Drosophila melanogaster: one gene and its partner. The gene in region 1 interacts genetically with each later gene. Each region holds a gene or a part of one and is shown on either strand. Other genes may lie near its edges.

Region 1 (6,664 bases):
GCGTTCCTGCTGCCCTTCCTGAAGTCCAGCCGTAACTCTTTGGAGGGGAACAACAGTCTGGCCACTCTGTACCAGATGTCCCAGCAGCATTTGCAGCATCAACCATTTCTCCTGCATCCAGCACTCCATGCGACCGAGGAGCACAAGTACTGCGCCAACACTAGCATCAATAATAATAATAATAACAACGACGTCCATAATGGTGAGAGTATGGAGGTCTTGGAGATGAAGTACTCGATATCGGAGAAGGACGATGAGGAGACCATCGACGCCTTTGATCCCGCGGTTACCAACACCCTGGGTATGAATCGTACTTCGTCCACGCCCACTCGCAGTTCTGCCCTTCAAGGAGGCGGAGGCAATTCACCGGCCAGAAGCGATACCGCTAGTGCGGATAGCATGAAAAACTTCATTCCAGATGTGCAGCTGGCCGAGACGGGCTCGCAACTCATCTACAGCGATGGTGGACATGGCACACCACCGCCTCTGCACTACCATCCGCACTCGCATCCACATCCTTTGACATTGTCCATGGATCATCACCCAGCATCCTACGAACCGGGGAGCACGAAAAGAATCAAGACGGAATGCGAGGCCACCAGCACGATGACGAATGCAGGAAGTATTTACGGCGGACTGAGTTCGTCGGAAGTGGCGGACATGGAGTTCTTCCGCAGCATTCTCCCAGATCTGGCGACTCTCACTCCACAGCAACGTCGCAAGTTCAAGATTGGCATTCTGGAGCTAATTGACGACGTTGTAACCCGATATCCCGCCCAGGATCACAGCAACGGAGGAGGCGTATCTGGCGTAGTCAACGGAAGTGGCGGTAGCAGCAATGGGGGATCTGTTAAGCATCAAAGGCGCAGCTCTGGACGCGATTGGAGGAAACAATAAAGGAATAGAAAGTGTATCGGAAAGTCACTAATCCTTAACTAGGGATAGGATAAGTTTAGTTAGAAGCTTAAGGGGGATCTGAAGCTGGAATGGGTACTAATTCGAATCTGAGCTACTTCAGTCCGCTCACTGTTAATGTGTTGTGTCTACTCAATAAGATGGGTATGTTTTCAAAGGCCTTCAATTCTTTCAAGTCCGCGAATTGTTTCGATTTTGACCAACCATTATGAATGGTCCATTTACAAAGAGCTGCAAGAACTTGCATGACCAAATATATACATATATATATGAACAACTAATATATACATTTAAAGCTATTCCGAAATCGAACACATTCAACGAACAAGAAGTAATGAGGTCTCCTTATAAGCCATTTAGTTCTGACGTAGCAGTTAAGGAATTGTGAAAATAGATTTCAAGATTTTAGAAAATGGCTGCTTCGAAAATATGTTAGTTTAAGGACACTGTATATACGCTGCTATTGAAACCTAAACTATAGAATCTGTGTACAAATGAATTTCCGTTTGAGTAAACAAAGAGGGATAAAGAGATAGATCGATATCAAACTGCTGTGTGTAATAATAAACAAATGAAAGTATGGAAAATTACACGGTAAACTTTAATTTAATTGTCGACAACTTCAACAGAGGGCTTTTTATTGGGCCTTGCCCCATTTTTTAGGCAGCGATGGACCACAATAGGTTTCCTTTCTGAGAGAAATGCACAAGGACACGACTTATCTTCGCACTAAAAGCTAAATTTCGTTAGCGGCTCTACGGAGGCTGGGATCGGATTGGATCGGATCTACAACTTCGAGGAGCCAGTCTTGGGGTAGAACTTCTTCGACGGGTCCTTAGCCATGTCGAGCAGGGTCTGAGCGGGCTTGAAGGGAGCTCCGTACAGCTCAGCATAGGATTGCATCTTGCTGACCAGTTTGCCGGCTCCATACTGATCGACCCAGCGGAAGGGACCACCGGAGAATGGCGGGAAGCCCAGGCCGAACACGGCTCCGACATCGCCCTCCAGCGGACTGTCCAGAATCTTCTCCTCCAGACAGAGCACGGCTTCGTTGATGAAGCGGGATACCATACGCAGCGTCAGATCCTCGGGGGCATTGGCTCCCTTTGAGACTAAAGCGTACTTTTGTTTCACGATTTCGAGAGCATCGTTGTTCACTGGACGAGTGCCCCTCTTCTGGCCATCGTACAGGAAGATACCCTTGCCGGACTTGCGTCCGAGGAAACCAGCCAGGACCAGATCATTCATTACTTCCAAGTTTCCACCGCTGAAACGTTCGCCGAATGCCTTTGCCAAGTCGACGGCAATGTGGGAACCCACGTCAATGCCAACCTCATCCGCAAGGGTCGCAGCACCCACGGGGAAGCCAAACTTCTTCGTGTATTGGTCCAGATCCTTGGGGTCCACGCCTTCCTGCAGCAGTCTGACATAAAATATGGGAGTATAATAAACAATTTCACTAGTCATCTTAAAATGCAAACCTACCTGATGGCTTCCGACAGCATGGTGGAGAGGATGCGGGTGGTATAGAAGCCAGGTCCGTCACCAACAGTGATAACGACCTTGCCTTGCTTGAGACCGACGGCCACGGCCTGTGCGATGGTGTCCTTGGAGGTTCCTGGGTGAGTGATGATTTCCAGCAGCTGCATCTTGTCCACGGGCGAGAAGTAGTGCATGCCAACAACCTTCTCGGGACGCGAGCTTCCAGCAGCAATCTTGGTGATGGGAATGGCGCTGGTGTTGGTGGCAATGACGCAGTGCTCTGGAACCACTGCTTCCAGCTCCTTGATCACTCGATGCTTAACCTTGATGTCCTCGAAAACAGCTTCGATGATGATGTCTGCGTTCTTGAAGTCGCTGTAATCAAGAGTGGGCCGCAGACTGGCAAGAGTCTGATCGCGCTCCAGTGCAGAGATTCGCTTGCGCTTCACAGCCGTCTCCAAACCCTTCTGCACTTGTCCAATACCACGAGCCAGGCCGGCTTCGGTGGCATCCTTCATCACCACCTGATATCCCTTATCGACGGAGACCTGTACAATACCGGCGCCCATCAGACCAGCTCCCAGCACACCCACAGTCTTAACCGGACGCTCTGGCTTGCCAAATCGGTTCTTCTTGCACTCCGTTTGTCCACGGAACAGGGCAATCAAACCCTTCGACTCGGGCGTGGCCGATAGCTCGCCGAAGCCCTTGCGCTCCGCCTCGTAACCGGCATCGGTTCCCTTATCCACGCCAGCACGGATCACATCGAGAATCTGTTTGAAGTTATAGGTTACTTACAAATATGAGAATTGCTTGTTCAATATCGAACCTTCAGAGGAGCGGGATAGAGACCGTTCGAGGCCTTGAGCACCTGTTTCCTGGCAGTGTCGAAAATCTTGTTCTTCACAAAGTCGGTGTCCATGACGAAGGACTGGATCTTGCTGACGAGACCGCTTTTCTCGCGATTTACCTGTGTGGATACGGTGGAAAACAAATTAATGATGAAGACTTTAAGGGATTAACTAGTATTTCTTACGCGAAGTTTACCACTAGCCAGATCGTTGGCGACCTGCACGGCGGTCTTCTCCAGGTACTCGATAGTGTTTTGCTCAGCAGGCTGGAGTCCAGGACCTAGGGGATCCACCAACAGATCCACGATGCCCAGTCGTTTGGCGCGATCGGCGCGCACCTGTTTGCCTGTCAGCTCCATATCCAGAGCCGTGGGCACGGATGTAAGCTTGGGCAGGCGGACGGTGCCACCGCCGCCGGGCAGGAGACCCAGCATGACCTCGGGCAGACCCAGTTTGGTCTTGCTGTCCTTGGTGGCAATGCGGTAATGGCAGGCAAGGGCGAGTTCCAGACCACCACCCAGACAGACTCCGCTGATGGCGGCCACAATGGGCTTCTTGCTGCGCTCCATGCGATCGAACATCACCTGGGCGCCGTGGGAGATCAGCGTGGCCTCCTCCGCCGTCTGGCATGCTTCCAGCATCCCGATGTCGGCTCCGGCCACAAAGCAGCCCGGTTTGCCCGAGATCAGCACGGCGGAATTGACGGCAGGATTCGTCTCCAGGTCCTTAATCACTCGCTCGAACTCATCGCTCACTTCGGAGCCCAGGGAATTCACCTTGGCATTGGGTGAGTCGATCTTGATCACAAGCACTCCATTGACCACCTTGGTGTGGAGATGCTTGTTGGCAACCGGTGCGGGATTCGTGGACATTAGGCGGCGCCTCTGGAGAAGCTGGGCCGAAATGGGCAGGGCTGCGTGGGGTTAAGAGATTGTTGTTTGCGATTAGTGCACATTATCTCACGGCACTCGAAATCGGAAATCAGAAAGCGAGAGACAGAAGCTATACGTCAAGGGAGAGTACAAAGTTCAAAGTCCAGTTATGCGGCATCGGGGGAGATTCAGCTAACACGGGAACGGGAGAGAGACAGAGATACCGCTAGAGTACTGCCCATTTCCAAGGGGCCAAATTCCAATGTAGAAGAATTATGGCCTGCAATTTGCACTTTCCCTTTTCATAGCAGAACTTCTAATTAACCCACCTCTGGTGCACTTATTCTGCAGCAATTGCTGTCGCGAAATTTGGCCAACGGCACTCAAAAACCTCGTTGCCGACATTGCTCTCAGTTCGATCTTATAAGATAGTCACTTTTTGCTTACGATAACTATTTGTTTTAATTTTTAACGAACTTTGATCATGCACCGTTAGTTATGTGTTCGCGATTCGCTATAAAAAACTATGCGGCAATTTCTACTTGTTGCACATCCCCAGTGTGACCGCGTTCGTACCAATAAAATATACTACCATAAGTATTTTCTAAATTTTAGCACTAGCCTAAATACCGCACACAGTACAAACTCATCCACCAGGTGTCGCTAGTGTCGTTTTTTTTTTAACTAGGTGGCGCAGGAGATCATAACTAGTGTTACTATTGTAGCAACTTTTAATTTTAAAGTATAAAAGAAAAGTACAAAAAAGAAAAATGAAGAAATGTATATATATATGGGCATTCTATTATGTTTTACGCATAAAACATAATTTCGTACTTGTTTTAGACTGCAAGTAATTTTTAGTTTAAGCGATTTCTGTAGATCACCTTTTTATTGTTATCTTTCATTTTTTTAAGAGAACACAAAATTATAAATCGTATATAATACCAGAGTTTTACAATAACTCGACCCGGTTTACAATACAATATTTCAACGACATTGTTTTTGGGAATCTGTCACGCTGACCCACCCCACAACTCGAGGTCGAACCATTAACAGGCCGCACAATTTGCGGGACACGCATGTCACTCGCATTTTTCAGGTCGCTTCCTCGGATCTCCGAGTTCGAGTCCAGGACTCATTGAAGCCACATTAAGCGCGCCTCATTTGATGCGATGCCATTGTCCTTTCAAGTGGCCACTGCTAAATAGGTTCGGATGAGATTTCGCCAGGCGCTTTATTGTGGCAACACGCCTTTGTGGCCTTTGACGCAGGCGTTTCATGTGGCGTGTACTATAAAGTAAATAGTTAATCGTTTTTCCCCGAAGCTGCAGCTGCGGTCTTGATTTCTCCGCTGATCCGTCTATGATGTGTGAAGAGTCAAAAAAGTCACACTTGAGTTCGTCGGTTTATGTCAACTGCAAAAGTCCGTCAGTCAAATGCTGGTAGATGGCTGCATAAGTGACCTGACCTTTTCCAATCAGCGGGCTTATCAAATGGATAACAATTGGCAGAAGAACCATTATCCACAAAGCTACAATAATGTATTTTACAAATTTTGCAAATTTTAAACTGATTTTAAATAAATAAATGTAATACTACATAGGATAATTATATTTTGAATATAACCATATATGGCATCTAACCATAAATTGAGACCTCTATTTGAGTTTCATTAGTTTGCGAAAATCTGCATTAACAAATTGCCACCGTATAGCATTTGCATTCGAAATTAGTCTCTGGAATTGCAAATGTGAATTTGCGAAACCTCAGATTAGATATCCTATATTCGCGCACTTATTCACGCGAATATTGAATTACACCGGCAACAATGGGATCAGCATCAGTTAATTTGCATAATACCTTTGCGATCTCCGATTCCTCCCCTCGGCACCCAAGGATAACACCAAATGAGCAGCAAAGCCAGCGACTCCACAGAGTTCTCATTTGCATGCGAGTGAGGGTTCGGGCTAAGGGCTAATCAAACAGCAAGGACAAATATTGTTGCAGGATGCGACAGGAAGCACACGGTCGGTTGTGATTTATGGCTGGAAATTAACATAAATGAAATCAAAACATTTTAAATGTTTTCATTTGGGCAAGGGTTCGGCGCAGCCGCACTCGAATTATGTATGCAAATATCCTTTGAAACAAAGTCATTCCTCATTTCTCATTTCTCCTGCAGCTTGGCGAGTGTGCGAATATCCTTGAAGGTCGCACGCGTCAGCGGCACACTTTCCATCCAACATGACAACTAATGGGCGTTTTGTTTATGGTCGATATCAAACCCCCATTAGGGTCGAGTACTCTTTGCCCGTAGTGACTACTTGCAACCCCTTCCCTCGGGCGACCGTTTTTTTTTTTTTTTTATACTTTTAATTATTTATAATCGGCTTGAAAAAAGATCAGAAACAATAACCAAATTTTTGAGTGGCCTCTGACAGGGGGTAAACCGTTTAATCGACCCCGAATTTAATTGCCGTTGAAAATGGAATTTAAAATTTTGTTTACCTCTTTTGGTAATGAAAATATTGTATATATGTGTAG
Region 2 (8,240 bases), on another chromosome or scaffold:
TGGAGTACACATTGCCGGAGCGTAGAGCCGATCCAGTAGACGACCGTGATAGGCCAGGGCGTCGATATTGGGAGTTAGAAACTCCCGTCCGCCTCGAAAGCTCACATCATCGAAGCCCTGAGAGAGTGTTTGCTTTAGAAATGGGTTGATTTATGACGGCGAAACTAGTCCCACCATGTCGTCGGCCATAATGATGATTATGTTGGGGCGCCGTGCTGCAGCAGATTCGTCCGACTTCACCCGTTGGAGGCAGAGCAAAAGCAGAAACGCTGATAAGCCCCGCATCTTGGTTACTCAACTTACGTATTAGACAATCGCGTAATATTCGACTGCCTTGCACGGCAGCTACCGATCAACTGAAACGGCGAGCGGTCCACGTAACATCTCGCCCCAAATCGGTTTGGGTCTCGATCTCCCAATCTGTCTCAGCCGGCATCTCACTGCCAAACCGATCGTTTGGCGTTCGATTTGAAACCGATCAAACCGAATTAGAAGCCACAAGCAACAAGTTTATTTAATAACCGAGCAGCTCCATCTAAGTAATTATAATGTGTAGGTAGTGTAAATACGTACAATTTAAGAGGCTTTTTGTTGGAGACAGTTGAATAAACTCAGAGCAAGTGGGGCGCATTCTGTCTGGGATCAGTGTGCTTATCAAAGTGGTTAGCCGTGAGCACTTTGTGCCGAAAAAGCCAAACTTTGCCAAGGAAAACATTTTCGGAAAAGTGCTTGCATCTGGGTACGTTGAAATTAAATGAAATCGAATGTACAGTGTAGTGTTTATTTTTTTTTTTTATTAAACTAAACTTATAGAGTAGTCTAACAGCAGCATACTAACTATACAACGATCTATCTGGTTACCGGATGTCCAGTGATCCAGTGATTAATACTATAGGGACATGCACAGACACACACGCTTATTTGGCTAAACACGCACACAGTAAAGGCATAATCTGATCCTGATTCTGATCCTCGATCCGTATCACCAAACAAGGCTTCTGGCCGCGGCCGGAAGACCACAGATGGCGTTGTGCACGGGAATGGCCAGAAATCCGGCCAGAGCAATGCCATAGGAGTCCGACTGTACCACCATGGCCATGGCGAACTGCTGGCGCTCCGGCGAAATCTCCTTGGACATCCGATAGAAGGTGTTCACGTAAGCACCGCCGCCCAGAAGTCCCTCCCACAGGACGATGGCGAACACGATCCAGATGCTAGGCGTGTACCACCAGATAACCTCGGTGAGGAAGTATACCACGTTGACGAACTGGAAGATGGACATCAGCCAGATCTTGTCCAGCTGGAAGAGATTGACAGAGGAGCGCGAGATAAAGACTCCGATCTGATAGTCCACATTTAGCCAGCGGTACTGCGAGTCCTTGTCCAGGAATATATCTTCAAAGTAAACCAGTTCGAACTGAAAAATGGATGACAATGAATGTTTTTTTGTATGAATTAAAGAAAGCTAAATTACCAATCCTTGATTGATGAAGTATTCGAAGAAGTAAACCAGGCAAAGGGGCAACATATATTTGAAGAGGTGCTTGATATAGAAGAGCTTTTCCTTGAACCCAACTAATGGCTTCTCATCGCTGATCAGGACTTCCGTGGACTCAACCGTGGTAACCGGCAATATATCAACTTGTGGACGACGAAGCAGCAACCAGAATGCAAAGGCCTCGATCGCAGGGAAGATCAGCATAATCAGCATAGTATCTCTGGGACTGAAGTCTAAGGATCTCAAGCTAGCATAGCTCAAGGATCCGATAACTCCAGCGCCACCAGTTCCGGACGACCAAGTGGAGATCACATTCCTAAGAAAAACATATGGAATTAATGATATTTTGTTTAGTACTTTTACCAGACAACTCACTTATTGTATCGCGAAGAATAGGCCAAGAAAGTGGTTTCTCCTATTCCGCTGCTAGCCGAAGTGATGATGACACCCAAAAGAGCCATCCATTCGGCATTGGCGAATCCAACCAGGAGGAAACCAGCTGCAGAAAAGGCCACGGCAAGAGCTATACGGAAACTAATAAATAAAATGCGATTTTGTGTTAGTATCATATCAAGTTTAATGCATCAAATCAAATTTATTTAATATTGTAGATAGTACTCACTTCACCCAAAATGGAAAGAATGGCATTAGAATCTTGACAAATAATGAGGGCAGCACGTCTGCCAGCAAGATGGCACCTGTTGAAACCAAGTGACAGTTTCTTCCCGACGAGCTTTCTTCCGATTCATCATTCTAAAAAGAAAAAATTATGCAGGCGAACAATTAATAAATGTATTAAAAGTGCTATAATCCTATTGTAATTACCGGATTAAACTGCTTGATAATATCGTGCGCAGCACTCAGCATCACCACGTATCCGTAGTTGTTGCACAGACCGAGGATCCAGTAGGAAGTAAGATCCCGCCATAGACCCCGATCTTGGCGAGAGCTGCGAGAGGCGTCTCCAGGGGTGACCACCACTTGGGGATCATGTTCGGCCTCAGCCTCTTGCTGCTTGGTTGCCGTCATATTGAGCCGGCTAAACAAAAATTAAAAAACCCTTTTGTTTAATATTTTTAGTGCAAATCCAACAAATTTATTTGATTCACTTCATAACTTTTTTTACCATTTACTATCTCTAATCTAAACTCATCTAGTTTCTCCTAAGAAATCAACAACTTATTTGTCTCTAAAAAAATTAATGTTGCTCTTTTTAAAAGCTTTAGCATTTACGCAAATTGTTTAATTGGTCAAGCGTGAACGAAGGTGGTTTTAAGACTTCAAAACGGCAACGAAATCAATATCACGTTTTTATAATAACAGTTTCTTTTAGTAGCTTTAGTTCAACATTTATTTGTTCCAAGAAACAAATCAGCGCCGTACCCTTAGTTCATGATCACCTTACTTAATTTACTTTGAATGGGCCAACTATTAATTGAATTCTCTTTCCCAGCTATGAGCTATTTATACTCTTAAAAGAAACTGCTATTCACTCTTCTAAGCTGAGCAAATACTACTGCTCGAGTCGAATTTAAATAAATTGTTTAATTTCCCAAGCCGAGCATGTGCGTAAGCAGTCTTGAACTTGACATAATATGGTCACTAGGGGAAGTCGCTAAAATATATGGAAAGTACGTGCAATAAATGCTTAAAAATATACAAATTGTGTTGAAGGTAGGAAAAGACAGCTGTTTAGTTCAGACTCAGGGTTTGACGGGTTAAAAGACTCATATTTATATAGCTAAGTGCCTTGCGGGATATTTTCACGGGAGGTGCACACGTATTTCCTATTTTACTATTTGAATTTGTAATAAAGTAGCCTATTACTATTACTTTACACATTTCTCAGGCATTTAACTATGCTATATAACTAGCTAATTTGCAATGTTTGGAGGTTTTAAATAAATAAGATTTTAGATAACATTCAGCTGTAGCGGGAAATAAACTACATATGTGCGATTTTACCGGATATATAGATGTACGTATATATATCACAGTTTTTTGGCAATGTTTTCGGTGGTGCAAAGTGCAGATGAATTGATTTGTTTACATCCGACAGAACTTGTGACTGATAATAGATCGAAGAGGAAATGGGGACAACAGATGGGATAATATAATCTAGACCGTTCAATGCATATATTCCCAATTCTCATTAGCGCCCTTGACTGGCAGCTTTTAATTATCCAGATCATTTAAGTTAACCTTGCAACAAGCCAAACCAATTCAAATAATGTAATCAACAGTTAGCACGAGCCCTGTTAGCCAACAAAGAAAAGGCACGCTAACTGTAAAATAATTATAACAAATTAACTAATTTAATTAATTCAGAGACCAGGCAAATGCTTTTTAGCCGTCCTGCACTTCGTTGGCCACTGACTCATTCAAGAGATTCACTTGATCCATTTGCGCAGTTATGAAGTTGTTGACCCAATTCGCAGTGCACTTTCCTATCCAGTTACTTTTGCTTGCTATCAAAAAATATGATACCCGATACTCAAAATTTATTTCGAAATATCACTGGTAAATTGAGAATGCTAGATCTTGCATATATCTTGAAAAAAAAATTCTGAAGCATAGAGTGCTTAAAGGGATTTTCGTTTTCAAATATAACTTTTTAATCAGTAAATTAATAGATAAAATAATTTTTTTTCCATAAGAAATTTTAAGCCTTTGATATTTAATTTCGCATTTTATGTAATATAATATGTAAAAGGTTGAATTTACAACAAATGTAAAAATGTTTACATAGAGTTAACTTTCTATTGCACTTTATAACTTTTCATAGCACTAATGGGTTCTTCAACTGCTCTTGTTCACTATAAAGTACAACCGTACATCTTGCCACTATTTTTCGGCTTGGTAGTTCTAAGGTTCCGAGAACTGTTGGATACGACGGCGACGACGATTCGCGCTTCGAGGCGATCGGTGAGTGACTGAACCTGTGCGAACCCTCCCAACGGAACGAGAACCAATAACAAGCGGCGACTACAATGGAGCCAAGCGGCTGGGAGCCCAAGTATGAGGTATCACGCGAGTTGCCAGCGGCAGCATAAAAACTAAAACAATTAAAAGATGCAGCAAGTGCCAAAGTGCCGATCAGCAGGTTGATCGTACGTAGATCGCTAGCAGGTAGCACACATTACAGATTACATATATAGTATCATTTAATTCAATTCAATTCGATTTGATTCGATTTGATTCGAGCGGCAAAAGCGGGGGAGTTGAGGTCGGTCAGCGAACGTCACGTTTTTCGAGTTGGCAAGTGCATTCGCATTGGGTTTAGAATACCCCTTCTTCTCAAGAGTGCGAAGATAGCGATAAGATGTTCGAATTTCTCGATGGGGGAAAATCTGCGAACCTTGTGATTCTTTATGGTGGGAAATGCTTATCGGCTAGCGGTCTTTGGCATTCAAAGATCCCAAGCAATCCGATAGTCGAACTGGTATAGATTAGATTATGAAGATATTGTGTCACTACGAAGGGTTCTTAAAGATTTTCCAATACTTTTGAACGCATGTGCTAGCTCTTGATTAATGTATTGAAAACGATCAAGTTAGCAACTGTATTTTGGAGGGTATTTCAAACTTCGTGTTTGTGTTAGCTTTCGTAATTAGCACCTGTTATTGAATAAGTCATAGCTATTTTAATTACGCTTAACTTTAAGTTAGGCAGTTTAATTGCGGATAGCGCTGTTAGCTTTAATTTGTGCTGCCCAATATCAAGTAAGCTCTAATGGTCGTTCCCTCTAAGTTTATTGTTTTTCAACGGGCGCACGTGGCGTATGCGTAATCCGAAAAGTGCTCCTAAGCTCAAAAACACCTGTTTTCTAGTAGAAAGATTTTAAAAAGTAGTATCGATAAATTCACTTGTTTTTTTTTTTTTAAAGTTACACAGTAAACCAAACGGAGGTCATTTAACTCGATGACAAACGGTTCGGCTATGCAAATCACATTTACCCGTTCAACTGGAAATGCTGGCTAATTTTATAACAATTTCATTTGAAACGGAACCCTGAGATACTTTCTACGGCCATAAATCCGGCGTAAAATGCAATAAACATTACTCCCCCGAGTGAATACCAAACACCAGCCGTACGTACACTTTCGAATTATTTCCGGCTGCCACTCAATCCGCTCGAGCAATGAAAATCTACTGAGGACTCGTCGAATACGGGCCTAGATTACAGCCGGACCAGTTGCAATCGACATTATCATTATCGTTAAGTGGCCAGCAGATTAAATTACAGATAAGACGTTCGCAGCATTGGGCCATATAAATCTTAAGATATCACTGGCAATGGCAATTCGTATATGACAGGCTCTGGGGAACAGAAAGGGTAATCAAACTGATGAGGTGATGGCCATAAGCCCGCTTCCCCCTTTTTATCTTTTCCCGTACACTTAAGTCTAATAATCGTACCGGCCAAGAGTTTGGTCATAATAAATTTCTCGGGTATCGTTTTCCCATCCACAATAGCTCCGTTTAAATTAAATCCGTTTCGCGCTCATTTAGCACGTACGGAAACCGCCAAAACCAATTTCACACCGCAGCCGCAAAGCATGGAACACTTTTTACTTGCCACAGGGCTATACATTGCATTTAAAAAAGAGAACATGTTGTTGACAAATTGCAAAATAAAGTGGTTAAGGCTGCTAGGGATAAAAAGGGACACCCGTGTTCGATGTTGTAAATAATAAATAATTCACAATTGCTTGTCAATTTCGAGTCACTCCAAAGTTGTCCTCCCTGCGAAGGGAAAGTAGTCCTTTCATGGCATAAACTATGGCCAAAGCGATGCCCTGTTGACAGCCAGATTGAGTTGACAAATTGTTAAGGCAATTTGTTATAGTAATACTTTGGGAATTCCGGAATGCCAGTGAGTGCTGTTTGGCAAGCAGTTGTGTCAGTTGCATTTTAATGGTCGACTGGGAGTCATTTAAGAACGAAGTTCTTAATACTATTTGCTTGACTTAGGCAAATGTAAAATCTTGAAAAAATATATAATTTACTGCGTATTTGATTAGCAGCCATATAATACCATTTATTTGCTCCTACACCCAATTTAATAATATTTGTGCGAACTCAACTCACTCTTATTTATTGTACAATCAATTTCGATAAAGCTTTGACACGTCCCTTCCCATATTTGTCGCCTCTGGCGATGCGCCATCATTAAAATACCATAAATCATCTCGGGGCAACATGCGATGTCTGCGGTAGGGAAACTACTGATTCCGGTGAAATTCGGGGAAATGCGAAAAACACAACTGTTAACTGTTTCTAATAGGCCGTATTAGGCTCACAATCAGTTATCTAACATTCGCACGTGGCATTGGGGAACAAAGTTTCAATTCGAATGTGGCCGTGCACGAAAATGCAAATAAAATGGCTCCAAGAGAATGAATAAAATCATTGCCAAAAGGGAAAATGGAGTATAAAAAGTAACCGCCAAACACGAAAAGTTTTTAATGCAAATACGAAAATCGCATGGAAACATGGCCACCACGTCCTTTGCAAACCCCTTTATCCATCCCTCCGTTTAACGAGCCGTGCTGCAATTTTCCGGCGCGAAAACAGGAAGTGAGGAAAGCGTCGCCCTGCATAATTTTGCGATGCGAAAAGTTAACGCAAAGTGTTTTTATTTTCTCCTGGGTGCAAATAGAATATAGTTGTTACAGCAGCTTAAAGCGATTTTAAAGCACTACGGGTGAAAGGTGAGATGACGCGTGAAAAAGCGCTTCCAGGCCAGTTCCACCAGCAGGATTACCACGACCAGGATGTCGGCGCAGATCAGCATGAGGAGCAGAGGAGCCACGTACTCCATTCCCACGGTGATGACGAAGTTCTGGGCCACGCAGTGCAGCTTCATGTGCACCCAGTAGCTGCGCTGCTTCCGGTAGACACCAGTTTCCAGGATCCTAAGGAATCTAAAATAATACATACGATTTTAATACATTTAAGATGTTTTTGAATAGCATAAAATTTAGTTATACTTGCTTTTGGAAGAGTAGCATAAGGGCTTACCGAAGTCTGAAGAGCTCCTTGTACGTGGAGTTGCGATGTAAGTGCGTGTAGAATAGCTGCTCGGGTCGAAATAGAACTTCGTTCAAATCGCAAATCTCTTGAGCCGTAAAGTACCGCTCCACATATGCATATCCGGAAGAGGTTTCGAACACGTAGACATAGCCAGGATTATCCCTGACCCTTAAAACACCCTGCTCAGCGGGCAACCAGAGTTCAGGATTCTGGGTCTGCGATTCGATTTTGCGTTTTATGAACAAGTGTATTTCCGGTAGTCTTGAGTACTGAAATTAAAAAAGCTCTTTGCAGTTAAGAATGGTTAGGAATGGAATGAAACCAACATTTAGGTAGCTCTTGGTGAAGGGAAGTGGCTCCAAGCCCACGGTTAGGGAACTCTCCGCCAGCTGCCGCATCGTTTTTATCTTGGACTTGACGGGCGAGCTTAGTAGAGATGAAACGACTACGGAAGTGTAGTAGTTGTACATAATAAAGCTGATCAGGAACAGGGCGAAGTAAATTAGTCTGCCTCCAGCGGATCGTGGAATCAAGGACGAACTTTGGATGCAGGCTGCTCCAAAACTGATCAGGAAAGTGCTCAGCAAAGAGGGTAGGTAGTCCAAGCGCCATCGTTTTTGCATTCGCTTGCACTCCATATAAAAGGTGATCCACAGGAGGACACCAATCAACGAAAGTACTCCGCCGAAGAGATACCAAACCAACG

The links.
Region 2: of Mtpalpha (region 1) and Cln3, changing one enhances a phenotype caused by changing the other (phenotypic enhancement), as found in Drosophila melanogaster (one study listed by BioGRID).

What each region holds. Positions count from the first base shown.
Region 1 is NT_033779.5:9,572,069-9,578,732, forward strand, and holds Mtpalpha (mitochondrial trifunctional protein alpha subunit), read right to left. Parts: upstream 4,702-6,664; 5' UTR 4,526-4,701; coding exon 4,450-4,525; intron 4,313-4,449; exon of another isoform or gene 4,162-4,312; coding exon 3,434-4,161; intron 3,368-3,433; coding exon 3,227-3,367; intron 3,171-3,226; coding exon 2,401-3,170; intron 2,339-2,400; coding exon 1,702-2,338; 3' UTR 1,505-1,701; downstream 1-1,504. Other genes in the region: brwl (brickwall), read left to right, coding at 1-897.
Region 2 is NT_037436.4:17,808,463-17,816,702, forward strand, and holds Cln3 (Cln3), read right to left. Parts: upstream 5,658-8,240; 5' UTR 5,598-5,657; intron 4,430-5,597; exon of another isoform or gene 4,334-4,429; intron 2,538-4,333; 5' UTR 2,528-2,537; coding exon 2,324-2,527; intron 2,252-2,323; coding exon 2,121-2,251; intron 2,033-2,120; coding exon 1,874-2,032; intron 1,815-1,873; coding exon 1,475-1,814; intron 1,418-1,474; coding exon 983-1,417; 3' UTR 769-982; downstream 1-768. Other genes in the region: CG32191 (uncharacterized protein), read right to left, coding at 1-117, 175-285; Ir75a (ionotropic receptor 75a), read right to left, coding at 7,200-7,425, 7,523-7,803, 7,861-8,240.